Linked DNA regions of Drosophila melanogaster. The protein of the gene in region 2 interacts with the protein of the main gene of each other region in a pairwise test. Each region holds a gene or a part of one and is shown on either strand. Other genes may lie near its edges. The genes, in order: CG13585, OS9 and KCNQ.

Region 1 (5,189 bases), on a different chromosome or scaffold from region 2:
AAGCCTGGAAGATTTGAAGGCCCAGCAGGAGGAGCTCCTCCAAGAGCTGGATGTTAATGCGTCGCATAACACGACAGCGAATGAATCGAAATCACCAACCGACCTGGATGACACGTCTGAGACGGAGGTTGGTCCATCTGCTGCCGAGTCCGGAAATAATGAGCAGTCCCGATCAGCACCCTCGACTCCCTTTAAGGCGTCTTATGAGGGCACGCCTTTGCTGAAATTCTCCGTTTACGACAGACTGCCTGTGGGCAGCAACTTTAAGGTGGGCGTCAGCGATGTGATCAACTTTGAAAACCTGCCCGACTCCACGGGAAAGTACGAACAAATGAAGGATCTGCTAAAGAACGTACGCGAAAAGATGGTGAAACTGCAGAACGAGAACTGACGAGACCAGGGAGACGGCAATACAAACCACATCAATTCCCGCCCACCATATGTACATTTTAAAGATTTTAAAGCCTCTTGTACAAAGGAAATACACAAGGAAAGCGGTTAGTTTTCCAAAGTCTTTTAAAAAGTGTCCAAATATGTTAGTTGATAAGCCGGTGTGTTTCAGAGTGCGCGGTTTTGTGTTTTGTACAATGTAAGAGGTGTATAATTTGCCTAATCTGTGTTCTGTGTAAACGTGCGAATGGATGCCACCAAGTCGATTGATTTGGTTCTATCCGTGGTTTCTGTCCCAATAGTGGGAGAATTAACAAAACAAGGAATTGCGGTCTGAAAATTGTGTTGTGGATGCTCAGGTTTCGTAGAAGCAGGGGTCCTCGGAGTCGCCTAGTTGATGGCCGGCGGAGGAGGCTGCGGCGGAGAGCCGTCCTGGTTATTGTCGCGTCGGCCGCCAGCTCGCTTGTTGCTGGTGAAGTTGCCCCAGGTACTCGGGTTCACTATGTACATGAACATGGCCACGATCAGGAAGATCATGGCGACGGAGAAGCCGCTGTCATCGCCGCGTCCGGCGATCTGCGCCTGGTGCGGAGTGCGTCCGGTGACTGAGGACGGATGGATTAGTTATGGTTTATACTATAGTCCGCAAGTAGAAGCACTGCATACTTTTTGGCAACTTATCACTAAGCGCGTATGACCCTAGTCTATACTGAATTGTTTTAAAAATGCAAATGCGAAAAATGAATGTTACAATCTTCACTTGAGTAAAAGACTGTTACTGATTTCATGCTGTGCAAAATGTATTATAAATCTAAATGTTTTCATACTTAAAAAAAGACGTGAGACATTGATACTGACCATCGTAACACTCGTTGTCCCCGCAGGCATTCTGGTTTTGTCGTATCTATAAGGAAGTACACTTGATCAAATGAGCTGGGAGCTGCGCGCACAGAAACTTACGAAGTTGATGAGGCGTTGCATCGCATACTCCTGCGACCAGACGCACTCGCAGCCATCGAAGTCGTCGGACATGGTTTCGGATTAGCCTTAGTCTGAGTTGCGCTGCGGAGATCGGAGTAGGTTATACTATAGGGAAAACTGAGTGTGGAATTGCAAATACTACATTTTGCCTGCTGCCACTGACACTGACGTGTCTGTTCGGAGATCGAGAGAACTGTTTCCAAACAAAACGAACCGAACTGAGACTAATTTATTTGCGGCCGCAATCGAGTTTTATACATGCATACTCATATGGTTCCGATAAAGGGGCTTTCAAATCGCGAGTGCGGAGCGAGTCGGTCGTATGTACTGGTACCTATATGTCTGGACTATGTTGTTCTGCCACTTGGGTCCCACAGAGCACAGCTTCAATTTTGGGGCAGCTGGGAGCAAATAACTTACACACTTGACAGCTAACGCCAGTTGAGCAGAGGGATTCAACTGTGCAAAGGGTCCACCCCAATGCCGCCCCACTTAGTGTATACACACACGTAAACCCGATTGCTTGGTGTGTAGGTATTTGACTCAAAAACACGATTATCAGAAGAAACAAGACGTCTAGTTTTAATTGCCAGCGAGAGCGAGGGCCCTTATCACACTTAATTACAAGGCCTTTCCGTTGGAAACTCCCCGATTGAACCAAAACCACCCCGAAAACGGTATCTGGCTTTAGAAAACGTAAACACAACTTTCCCCTTTTGTTTTTGTTGCCACAAAGGGGGCGTAAACAAACTCATCTGCGGGCGTTTGGCAATTAAGTGTCGTTACCTTGCGGGTCTTAACACTCTAATATGCTCCGATTTGGAATGGTAAAAGAATTATGATACAATTTCACTGCCACAACGTAACAATTACACTTTTCTTACCAACTGGAATTGGAATGGGAATAAAAAGTGCACATATGGTAGTGCTGGACAGCGACCAGAACTGGAGGCATATATCGGTGGAGCTGCCAGTGCTTGAAAGTTTCCATTCAGTGGGCGGGAAATTCAAAACTGTTTGATTTGGAATCTACTTCATCCTGCAACTCAAACAGCTAAAATGACTTGAGTTATTTGCTAATATACACTAGGTTAATGGAAGAGTAATATGACATTTGTCTTCTTGAGCTTTGGTTTGATGGGGTGGATGGCAATTAATCCATTATCCTTTTAAATGCAACCTGAAAATATTTTTGCCTTGTCATGTGGGCATTCTACGCAGCCTATAAAAGCATTTTCCCGCTGCCTTATGGTAATTAAAATGATTTCTTTTCTGCTGGTGTCAGTTCTTCTGTGCTTGGTCGGGGCTTCTGACTCGGAATCCATGCAAGTCCAAGTACTCCAGGATCTCAATTTGGCTCTCCAAACGGAGCTCAATGTGTTCATCGATTTTGAGTGCTGCGCCACCTCAGAGATACTCCACAAATTGGACTCGCCGAGAATTTTACTCTCCTCCAACTCGAGGGAAGCTAGAGATCTTAGAATTCGGGGAAACTTCACAGAGAGTACCCTTATCATAGTAAGTGTAATGGATTCAGATCTGAATCCACTGGTTGCCAGTCTTCTGCCACGCTTGTTGGACGAGCTCCATGAGCTGCACATAGTGTTCCTGAGCAATGAGGAACCAGGATTTCCGAAACAGGACCTCTACACCTACTGCTTCAAGGAGGGATTCGTAAATGTAATTCTGATGAGCGGAAAGGGCCTCTACAGCTACCTACCGTATCCTAGCATTCAACCGATCAGCCTATCAAATGTGTCCGAGTATTTCGATCGCGCAAGGATAATTCGAAACTTTCAAGGCTTTCCTGTCCGCATACTTCGAAGCACATTAGCTCCTCGGGACTTTGAGTACTCCAACGAACAGGGTGGCTTGGTGCGAGCAGGATATTTGTTCACAGCGGTCAAGGAGCTGACTTATCGCTATAACGCCACCATCGAGAGTGTACCCATACCCGATCTGCCGGAATATGATGTATACTTGGCCGTTGCTGAAATGCTACATACAAAAAAGATCGACATTGTTTGCTACTTCAAAGATTTCAGCTTGGAAGTGGCCTACACAGCACCACTTTCGATTATCCGCGAGTACTTCATGGCTCCCCACGCCCGTCCGATTTCCAGTTATCTGTACTACTCCAAGCCCTTCGGCTGGACCCTTTGGGCGGTCGTGATTTCGACTGTCTTGTACGGAACCGTAATGCTGCATCTGGCTGCGCGAGGAGCACGAGTCGAGATTGGAAAGTGCTTGCTGTACAGCCTCAGCCACATCCTATACAACTGCCACCAGAAAATCAGAGTTGCTGGCTGGAGGGACGTGGCCATCCATGGCATTCTAACGATCGGAGGCTTTATACTGACCAACGTCTACTTGGCCACGCTCTCCAGCATCCTCACATCCGGGCTGTACGACGAGGAGTACAACACTCTGGAGGATCTGGCCAGGGCTCCCTACCCCAGTCTGCACGACGAGTACTACAGAAGTCAGATGAAGGCGAAAACCTTCCTGCCCGAACGGCTCCGCAGGAACAGCTTGAGCTTGAACGCCACCCTGCTAAAGGCGTACCGGGATGGGCTCAATCAGAGCTACATATACATATTGTACGAGGACCGCCTGGAGCTGATCCTGATGCAGCAGTACCTGCTGAAGACGCCGCGCTTCAACATGATTCGCCAGGCCGTGGGTTTTACCCTCGAATCCTACTGCGTGTCCAACAGTCTGCCGTACTTGGCGATGACCAGTGAGTTCATGAGGCGCCTGCAGGAGCACGGGATCAGCATCAAAATGAAGGCGGACACTTTCCGGGAGCTCATCCATCAGGGAATCTATACCTTGATGCGCGATGATGAGCCGCCGGCTAAGGCATTCGACCTGGACTACTACTTTTTCGCATTTGTTTTGTGAACTGTGGGACTGATTTCGTCTCTTCTCGTTTTTTTCGCGGAACTCGTAAGTGGGCACCTTTAAGGAAGTTGGTTAGCGGGTGGCCCTTATCGGATCGTTTATTTCCTTATAAGGTGCACTTAACAAAAAACGCTTATTATGATAACTTATACAATTATTCAATCTGTCATGATGAGACCACTAATGGCATACCTTAATTAATTCAACTAAATCTCTACCCATTTCAAATCGGCCAGCGGTTTAAATATTTTGGGTATAAAGCAACGCTTACTTAATGTGTACTAATAGCGACTTCGACTCAGACCAAGTCTTCGACTCTTTTTGGGTTGCATGCAAATAGGGGACATGTCCTCCGCATCCTGTCTATTCTTTGTACAGTCCTTGGAGCGATTTAAGTCCCTGTCGGCCAGCGGAGTACTTGTCGAGGAAGGCTTGGGAGCGAATCGCTCCATAGTGGGTAAGGCGCAGGAAGTGGAAGTTTCAGTTGACAAAATGATCTTTCGCTTTCTTTTTAGTGACAGGAGGTTCCGGCGAGCTATTACGGACTTCTTGGTGGCCTGGTCCAGTGGTGATTTGCCGGCAAGTTGCGATAGTGAGGAGTGGATCTCCTGCGACCTTCTGGGTGTCCTCACCAATGGCTGGCTACACAGCGGATGCTCTTCCTTTGCAGAATGCTCCACGAAGAAGTCGTGTTTGAAATGCTCAATATCTGAGGTATTTTTTAGACTTTGTACATTGCAAAAAGTTGGCTTGTTGGCACTGTCTTCTGCCGCCGCTTCATCTACGAACTTGGCATCAATATTTCTCGATTCCTCAGAGATCACAGTTGGTTGGTTCGAGTCAGTGCTTGCATCGGCGGCTTGAAATTCACTCATGAACTGTGCAACTTTGATTTTCGTATTTTCCGAAATCAC
Region 2 (4,520 bases):
AATCCCCAGGCTGATAACCCCGGGCCCCGACGCTCTCACCTTGGTGATTTCCAGTCGAACGGGTTGGGATCGTGGTTGCATTTAATTGCAGCGCATTCCACCCAGTCAACTCATAGTTCTGTCGATCGTCGGAAGTTCGAGACGTGAGTGTCAGTCGAGATCTGCGAGATGTTGCCGCTCCAATTCGTTTTGCTGGGCTGTCTGTTCATCGCTCAGGGGGTAACTATTCATCGGTTTGTTCCACAATTTAGGCTTCAATGAGTTCTATATTTTCAGATATGCCACACTCTGCCGGATCCCAAGGTAAGTTTGCTAGCAAACAATTTAGATAGTATCTTCTTTGCAATATTCCATAATCCACAGCTAAGGGTGCCTCGTGAAACTATCAACATTCCCACGCATCTCTTCAAGCCAGTGAGTCCGAAATCGAGCAACAAACCTATTTCTAATAGATCATCCTTAAATGGCGGAAACAGCTCTGCCCTGGCCGAAGCAAATAACGATGTCGAGTTTCTAGAGGTGAGTCTCATCCAATACACTTAATATAAATGGAAATAAATATATATTTATTATCCTTGAAGAGATCTAGCGGTGAAGTGGAGGAGGTGACCGACACCTACGAAGAGGAGGACGTTCCACTCCGACCTATCCCCTTCCAACCTCGACCGTTTTATCCTCAGATCCCTCCCCGATCCAACGGTTTCCCCATTCGTGTAAGTGTTTTTATAAGTAGTTACACATAGTATTACAATCCGATTGACGATTGAACTATTTCAGCAACCCAACTATGACAATGCATTCCAAACCGATTACAATGTGGGTCCCAGAGGCAGCGGCTTCGACAACAGACCTTTTCCCAGTTCCCCGGATTTCCGTGGCAGAGGCATTCGACCAATTCCTGACTCCCCATTCCGCAATCAAAACTTAGGAACCTTTGTATCTCGACCGGTAATCTTGTGCAATCGTTTTCCTAACTAAAAAACTAATACACCTTCTCCAGGTACCTATGCCATCCAGTGGTTCCATTATCCCCCTTATCGCCGGTGGTTCCAGTATTCCGACTGGTAGAAGTGGTCCCCTTGGTTCCGGGGGCTCTTCTAACAACTTTTACCGGAGCGAATCCTATAGCTACACATCGGATGGAAGAGGACCTCCCCAAATCGAGCGGGATGTGTTCGACTCGCGGGATGGATTTGGATCATCTTATCGCAACTTTTAACACCTTTCCTAAGAGAAGCTGATGAATGAAAGTTCCGAGTTCTCAAAAACAACTAGTTAAGGCTGCTAGAGATTATACTGACTTGTCTGTGTGTAATGTAAAGATTCTTGGCATTACAAATAATCAGTTATTTTACTTTCCGCACGGTTTATTTATCAGACTAAATAACAATTGTATTGAATAGAAAGTCAGTAAAACTTTCAAAGCTATTGAAACCTGACAGCTTACAAATCTAAAAAAGGTATATTAAGGTATTCAATACCTTTGTAAAATGAATTCCACATTTCTTACGTCATACCTGCACTAAGTAGTAAACACTTACTAGCGTATTTATTATATGCTCATTGATTGTTAAATCAGCTGCAATATGTAATCAAATTTTAGCTTCCGGCGAGCGTGCTAATACAAAACATGAACTCTGGACTACTGGTTTTGATATTTGCAAGGCAGTTTCTGGAAATAATATATACGTTCGGACTATGTATCTGTAGTTATTTGGTTTAAACTTAAATGTACTTGAAACATGATATGTTTATTCAAATGAAATCAGAGTTGGTTAACTTGTCCAGCTTCTCATAGACATCCTTTTCGTTCTTAAAGTCATTAAACTGCTTGACCATCGCCGCGTTCCTGGCCAACCGACTGTCGGACCATGTGCTCATGTATTTCTCCACCTTCTGCTCTACGATTTTCAGAGTAGTTTCCAAGTTTCTTTCCAGGATCTGCTCCAGGTCCTCAACTCCGTGCTGTATGAATAGCTGAACGACAACCTCGTCAGCTTCCGATTCGAATTCTTTGCTGCCTGCAATCGAAATGATGCTTTCCAGTTCCTCAAGAGCATCCTCCAGTCTGTTCAGCTCGAATGAATCATCGAAGTCCAGGGTGTCCAAGGCCGCGACGAAGTCCTTAAGCTCCCTGAGAATGTGTCCCTTGGAGTTTGGTGGTAAAATGAGTTCGGCCTCGTCGATGACCAATTGAAAGACATGTCGTAGCTGTTCCATGGCGTCTGTTACCATTTGAAAGAGTTCATTGGACACTTCGAATTGTAACTGCCATTTGTTAATGAGAGGCGCTGCAAGCTGAAAGTTAAAGGTTTCTGTTGATTCCAAAAGGATATAAGCAAATCTAAGGATCTTACCGAAAGCTGGAGGGCAGCTACAGCGACTAGAAAAGTCCAAGTTAGTCTGCTGGCCATGATTTGAAACTGTATCTAGTCTCTATCGAACTGATTCCTTTTATATTCCCTCTCTTAAATTCACAATTTTTATACAAAATGGGAGAACGCCTCCTCTGTAATGAATACCCACTGATCGTGAGACAACGTATAGACTGTAATCAGACTTCAGAAATCGGTGAGCGTGATAAGAACGAGTGCTGCCCCTTCGTATATTAATTAGTGGGTAGTGGAAACCATGCATTTTGTTATTACAAAGTCGTATATAGTTCCAAGTCACGATAATATCTTTATTGCTTTAAAGTATCAGTTCTCGATATCTACACATGTTGATCAGACAGTCGGAAATTTTCCGGAAGTTAAACGGCATTTTTCAGGAATAAAGTCCTCGTATAAATAGATTCCGAATATTGTTCTTTGAAGTACATTTCTCATTTTATTACAAACACTTTCTAATTCTATGATATTGTTTAAATATTTAGCTATTAATCTTAAGCCTTCGTCCATATACCACTGGCCACCCCCTGCACCAAAGCCTGAGCCAATTTGGTGTAGTCCATTAGCTGGAGCTCAGGAAGTTGGCTCTTCAGGTTCTGGGGAAACTCCAAGAAGGTTGTGATCAGACTGTCCTTGGTTTCGGTGGCCAACTGGGTGACGTTGGAAACCAATTCCGACCTGTCCTGTCGACTGAGTCGCAGATACTTGGTAAGATGCGGCTTGACCTTGGCGAAGAATCTGCGGATGGCGATCTTCTCGCCGGGAAGAACCTCGACGAGCAACTTATCGGGAGTCTTATGGTACATGAGGTCGCTGTTTATCCAGGCGAAGATATAGAATGCAGTGCTGTAATAGTCCTCGTTCCCAGCAACCAGGTCGAGCTCCTCGAAGTACTGCCGATCGATGGTTTCGTTGGCCGGAAGACCCGGTAGTCGTTGGCGGGCATCTTCGATGGTCGTGTAGAGCACCTGATTGAAGAGCCTCTCCACCGCTTGAATTGTATTTCTCACCAAGATGGTAGGGCTGCGTTCTTTCACTTGGGATGAGTCCGCCAGAGCCTGGCAATCGAGAGGAAAATCAATAAGTTCCTTATCTAATCCACTGCCGACTCACCGACTCACCAGACAGATAAGACCCAGAAGCATCGAACAGCAAGTGCTGCCGCCGATAAGAAACCTCGAACTGCGCCCTGATCTCGCCATGCTCCTCTGATCGCTGCTCGATTTAGACTGATCATGTCGGACGGATGCCAAACGGTCTCCCCACCCAAACAATCTCGACTGGCTTAGGTTTTGTTTGTTTTATTAAGCGCAAGTAGAAAATATCTCAAGTACTGTTTATACGAATTTCGTAGAGTGAGCAAATTAATGGCCATTAATGTTCGTTCGTGGTTTTCTATTTAAGCTAGCTAGGAAAAAAAGATGCCGTCTAGTCGAATGTTAGTAGTAATCTGCATACACACGAGTAACATTAACAATTAGATTTGTAAATTACACATCTTAGCATATACTTAGGTTATTAGCAAGCTACTGCATTCTCATATTGATCCGGACTATATGTATATATATATTCATATTCAGCATTTGTAAATTGGCTTGTAACGGGAAGAAAGTCGTCCGGATAATCAAAATATGCTCATTCTTTTGTACACTTACAACATTTTCAATCTGATCTCTAAAGGTTGGTAAAATCGAAAAAGTGTTTTTAAATAAATTTAATTGTAAAGAAAAGAGTCTGGATTACCAAAACATCCTTAATAATTTGTACAATAACCATATTTTCTATATTATCTTTTAAAGTTGTGTAAAATCAAAAAATATCAAGGATCAAGGATCGTTTGGCATGCGATAAACGTCCTTATAACTATTTCATTTTGTATCTCTGCAAAAGTACTTATACATAAGTCTTATTACATTTACGTTCAGAATAATACGCTTTACCCGCGATTGTTGGCAAATGCACTGGCATTTTCAACAATCAGCTTAAAATAATTAAATTAACGTCCAATTGACTTAGGAATGCATACTTTATAGTTGAATACTGAAAATTTTTTGTTTTGAACAATTTTAATCCGCATTTCGAGATAACACACATATGTAGGTACACATTGTAGTAGGACTATCACTGAAA
Region 3 (5,189 bases), on a different chromosome or scaffold from region 2:
ACTTCTCTTCTGTAATATACCCCCAAAAGATACTTGAGTTTCATTCAAATGTTCCGCCCCACAAAGGATCAGTCGATATTAAGGCAATACATACGAAGCTGGCGGACTGGGCAGCGCCACCCGGTGGATGTTCCACGTAGCCACCGATACGGAATGCTCGTCGGCCGCATAGCATCTCCACACGGCCTGGATGAGAGTGGCCGCCGGCTGGCGACGGCGAATCATGTGCTTCTGCCGCTGCTGCTGCTGCACCTTCAGAGCAAATCCGCTGCCGAGGATGCCCTGGGAAAAAAGAAGGTATGAAGTGAAATTCGAATTTATGATCAACTGTGGCTGCGCTTCTATGATTGATCGATAAGAATAGTATAACAGCACTTCATTGTCAATCATAAATAGTGAGATAACATGTCTTTATCACTAGCCCTCGTATCAAAAAGTAATTAAAAATAGGTGGCACTATTAAAGCTATGTTTATTCGTAATCTAAAAGTGACTTACAGCTGGCAAAGCGAAAAAGGATATTCCCAGAAGGGCGCAGCAGGAGGCAATTAGCTTGCCCTGCCAGGTGATGGGCACCATGTCTCCATAGCCCACCGTGCAGAGTGTGATCTGGAATCGAAAGGATGGGCTAGCACTGTGATTATGTCATGGGATCCAAGGGACTCACCACACCCCACCAGAGGGCTTGGGCGAAATTGCTAAACTTATCATTGACGTCCTTCTCCCACATATAGACCAGGAATGATGCAAAGATTAGACCTAAGAACCCTATGTACATGGTTGTGATCAGTTCCTGCAAGTCAAAATATATATGTAGATAGGAAATCGTGTACGTTTTTAAAGATAAGGCATTTAATTAACTTTAAAGCATGTGTTATTTACGCAATTAAAGTGCACTTGTCATCCCGATAACGATAAGAAAGTGATCTTCTTAAGCACTCTAATCAAAGAGAACTTGAGCAAATACTTTCAAGGTGTAAACGTGGAAAACAAACTCACCTGTCTATGTGCGTATACAACCGAGCCGAGCAGCTTCCAGGTGCCGCCCCGCCGATCCATGCGCACCATCCGAAGGATCTGAAAGAACCGGAGGCCACGTAAAGCACTCGTGGCGAACACCTGGCCCGAGGTGCCCATTCCTAATACTACAATTGAGGCTAAAATGGTGACAATATCTGGAATGCACAAATATCATTCAGTTAGTGAAACTAATTTTTTTTTTTTGTTATTTACCTATAATACAGAATGGTCGCTTCACGAACTTCAGTCGACCCAGGCATCCCTGGTATCGCGATCGGCAGCCCGATGACCAGAGTCGAGCTCCAAACTCCATTGTGAACCAGATAACCACCAGGATCTCCATGCGGAACAGAATGTAGACGGCGTCCTCTTCGTACTCCTTGATGGTGGAAAACACACTGAGCGCCAGGCAGGTGAACACCATCAGGAATCTTTAGGAAATGAGCAATCACAAATTATTGTAATGTAAAGTAAATAAATACTTTTTTCTCTTATGGCATTCAATAATTTTTAGTGTAATAAAATCAACACTGCTTCTAAAGAAATTCACTTTTCTTACGTGAAGCTTGAACTAGATGCTATTATGAACACTTTAACAACGTTTTTTGCAGTGTACTTACACCATCACATGGTAGAAGATGGCGTGCAGGCCGCGCGGCCGCTCCAGGAAGTTGTAGAGGCGACTCTGGAGGCGCCGGTAGCGAACATCGCGGCGGGTGCCGCGGTTGTAGTTCAGCGGCTTTCCTAGGAGTGACATTCGCGGTTGCAGGATTCGTTCCGAGTTCGGCCTGCCCGGTCTACATTTCCTGCAAGTCCAGAAGTTTGAAAGTTTAGTATTTGAATTTGCTGCATTGTGGTAATCACTTAAGTTGCTATTATTTTTTCAAGTGTACCCCTTGTACCCCCTTATGTCGTAGAAGGCATAAATATCGTTGTCCGGATCCATTCTGATCTCATTCCACAACGCTGAGTTCTCGGAAAATCTCGGCAAATATTTTTGACACTTCGGACACGTCTGGCTCCAACGACGATTGAACCGCAACTCGATCGACGGGCGAGCGACGGCCGGTTAAAAAACCTTCCTTAACAACTAGACTTTCAAAACCCCATGTGTAAATTTTATTAATTATCTACATAAACAGTTTTTTCGTTCCACACACCTTGCATTTTTACGACAGCCCAAGTCTGCGTAGACCTCTATTTGATTTGTTTTAATAAATACCCCATATACCCAAGTATATTGCAGCTCGTCATCAGCAGAGCCCCATAAAATTTCGCGCATTTTAGCGACGGTTTCGTTTCGGCTCCCCATCGCCGTTGTGGGCGGGTCAGGTTCGCTTTAGTCACGATCTCTCGACTTTGTCTTTGCCCAACGTGCTGCCTATCGATCCTACGTCATTAACATTTGGCACTTGCCATACCCCAACAACCCAAATATGGGTGAGTTTTGGCAATTCATTCGGGGAGTGCTGGAAAACTACCAGCCGCTAATGGGAGCGTTTTACTTGGATATTGGTATTCGATTCTATAAGGGTTTCAGTGGTAGGATAAAATTAAGTACGGCACCTAAACAACAGATTTAAGGATCAGATACATCTCTCTCAAAAGTATTTATTAAAAATAGGGAAGATAAGATTTTGTTCAGATACTTTTAGCTTTCAAATATATGAATTACGAGACAATGATCGCTTAATAAGGAAATCTATATAAACTGCTTTTGTCATGATTATTGATCTATAAGAAAAGATCTTTCACAAGACACATAACAAGGAAACGCTCAACAAGAAAAGAATTCAAGCTTCTCATCTTGACCTTCTTGATAAATCAATAAATTAACTGTTCATAAACAGCTTTAGATGAAAGCAAAGCAAATAATCGTGATTTCACTGGCCAGAACGTGATAAATACCCGCTAAATGGTGAATATCATGTAGTTGTAATCAAAATAATAGTACGAGCATAGCATTTTATTTGAATATCACATAAATGTTAGTATAAGAATTATAACTTACATCTAAGATACCTATATATCAGATTCAAAATATTATAAAATGTTTAACATAAATATAATTTTTTTTTTAATTTTGTGAAAATATTAAATATTTTAGAGTTATTTAAATCGTTGACGAATTATTTACTAGACATTTCATCACTATTATTTTGAACACCAGTGTCCATAACAAAAATGTGTTAAGTGGACGTGTAACCATCATAGATACTTATTGTTCAGCTAATTGTATGTGGGAAGCGGGAGAGCCAGTTCTCAGGTCTCTTTTCCGGCAACTTTTCAAAGCTCCCCTCGAGCGAGATAATTGCAGTGCTGAAGTCAGCTATCGACAACGGGATCGCGAAAGCTCCCCACTATCCCCAATCCGTGGACGTGTGCCTGTGTTGGGGTGCTTCGAGTTCGCTCTATGAGTCATATCTTATCTTCCAGCGATCCCCAGCGCAAAGTGCTGCCCATCACCATAAAACGCGGAGAGTGGGTAAATTTTAAAATTGTTTAATGCATTCTTGCTTGTTTTTTTGATTTTTTGTTTTGTTTTTGTTTTGTTTTTTTTTGTGGTGGTTTGTATTTGTATTTTGTGTGTGGCTTAGGTTAGGCAGTAATAATTAAAATATACGATGTGGGTGCGCAGTAATGCTCGCTTGGCCATTTTCAGAACGTATGTACACAGGGGTTCGCTGCGGAGAACAGAACGGCACTAACAGTAGAGTAAAGTAAATGTAAATGATTCGTGTACAAGATCACAAGTTGTAGCACCAGGCGGGGGACGAAGGGCGGTTCGGGTTAATGGTAATCCTCTCCAGATACGGAAGCATGTAGCCCATACGTCGCGCCTCACTTCTTGGCATCGATGATGATCTCGTCGCCCGACTGGATGTTGTAGCTGTACAACTGCTTGTTGGGGTACCTCATCTCCTCCGGCCCGAATTCCTTGTAGTCCTGATCCAGATAGTAGAGGCGCATCTTGTTGGGCGCCAGACCCACCAGCTTCTCCAGCTTCACCTTCAAATCGTTGACGGTCAGATAGATGTCCACGAACCGGCTCTCGCTCACATCGTTGTAGGTGAACAGGACCTTGACCCGCTTGTCTGGTTTCAGGCTCACATTGACCAAGGGATCCAGCTTGCCGTGGATCTGCAGAAGCTCTTGGTAGCGCGCAGGCCGTTCCTCCTCCGGCTTGTCCATATAGTATCTGACAAAAGCTCGCTCCGAGTCGACGCGCTCATCGCTACTGATCTTGCCGCCTCCGTTGAGCATCTCCACGTTGGGCAGCCTGGCTATCAGGAGCTGCCTTCTCTCGTGCTCCGTGCACTCCAGACTTTCCCAGAGGGGCCAGTGTTTCACACGGAGGTTGCGTAGCTCGCTAAACTTGGCCAGCTCATCGATGGCCGCCCAGCTATCCAGTTGCGCGGAACTTAGGTTCAAAAGCCTCAGGCTGGGGAAGTATCTATGTGTCTCGCTGCTCTCCTCGGCCTGCAGCGATTTGATGGGACAGTCTGCCAGAACGAGGGCCTCGAGGTTGGGAAACAGCCGGCCCAGCCGGCAGATTTCCTGCCAGTGCTCGACGGGATTACCGGTGAAATGCAGGGTCTTTAGAGCAGGATGTGCTTTGGTGATTCGCCGCTCGGTTTCCTCTGGCGTTTCCGTTTCCTGCAGCCGCTGTTCCGCCTCCTCAGCATCGATCAGCACCTGCCTGTAGTTGTTCAGGCTGAGATGCAGTTCCTGGAGCACGGGCAAATTCTTCAGCAGGGTATCCACGCAGGCCCAGTCCAAGTAGGTGCCGTTCAGCACCAGGCTCTTCAGATTGATCGTGGGAGCCGTGGGCAACGTGCCGATCGGACTGGCCAGCTGGTTCTTGCTCAGGTTGAGGAACTCAATGCGCGGCATGTGCTCCAGTATGCTGAAGACCTCCGACCAGTCGCTCAGCTTGTTCTGGGCCAGATCCAGTTCCCTCACCCGCTGGCACTTCTCCCGGATGCTGTCGAAGTCCCCGGCCGAATCGATGTCACAGTCGTTGAGGACTAGCAAGGCTGGCACACTGGTCAGCGGGGATAGGCGGGGTATGAAGATGGAGAACTCCATGCGTCCGCCGCACTTGGTGACCGTAAAGTCATTGGGCAGGTCGCTTCGTTTGTGGAGTTCCGGTTGGTGGGCATTCTCGAA

The links.
Region 1: the proteins of OS9 (region 2) and CG13585 interact in a two-hybrid assay, tested with the Drosophila melanogaster proteins (one large-scale study listed by BioGRID).
Region 3: the proteins of OS9 (region 2) and KCNQ interact in a two-hybrid assay, tested with the Drosophila melanogaster proteins (one large-scale study listed by BioGRID).

What each region holds. Positions count from the first base shown.
Region 1 is NT_033778.4:24,528,703-24,533,891, reverse strand, and holds CG13585 (uncharacterized protein), read right to left. Parts: upstream 2,299-5,189; 5' UTR 2,256-2,298; intron 2,248-2,255; exon of another isoform or gene 2,158-2,247; intron 1,781-2,157; exon of another isoform or gene 1,514-1,780; intron 1,453-1,513; 5' UTR 1,423-1,452; coding exon 1,351-1,422; intron 1,295-1,350; coding exon 1,249-1,294; intron 996-1,248; coding exon 781-995; 3' UTR 501-780; downstream 1-500. Other genes in the region: CG4622 (uncharacterized protein), read left to right, coding at 1-391; Brca2 (BRCA2, DNA repair associated), read right to left, coding at 4,557-5,189.
Region 2 is NT_033779.5:19,964,063-19,968,582, forward strand, and holds OS9 (Olfactory-specific 9), read right to left. Parts: upstream 2,449-4,520; 5' UTR 2,415-2,448; coding exon 2,358-2,414; intron 2,299-2,357; coding exon 1,756-2,298; 3' UTR 1,602-1,755; downstream 1-1,601. Other genes in the region: CG10680 (uncharacterized protein), read left to right, coding at 169-219, 277-303, 364-519, 582-713, 778-948, 1,001-1,219; Hf (helical factor), read right to left, coding at 2,885-3,448, 3,512-3,592.
Region 3 is NT_033778.4:10,152,810-10,157,998, forward strand, and holds the start of KCNQ (KCNQ potassium channel), read right to left. Parts: upstream 2,069-5,189; 5' UTR 1,966-2,068; coding exon 1,913-1,965; intron 1,826-1,912; coding exon 1,640-1,825; intron 1,537-1,639; exon of another isoform or gene 1,451-1,536; coding exon 1,233-1,450; intron 1,175-1,232; coding exon 999-1,174; exon of another isoform or gene 793-998; coding exon 667-792; exon of another isoform or gene 609-666; coding exon 498-608; exon of another isoform or gene 490-497; intron 298-489; exon of another isoform or gene 283-297; coding exon 95-282; exon of another isoform or gene 67-94; intron 1-66. Other genes in the region: mlt (mulet), read right to left, coding at 3,861-5,189.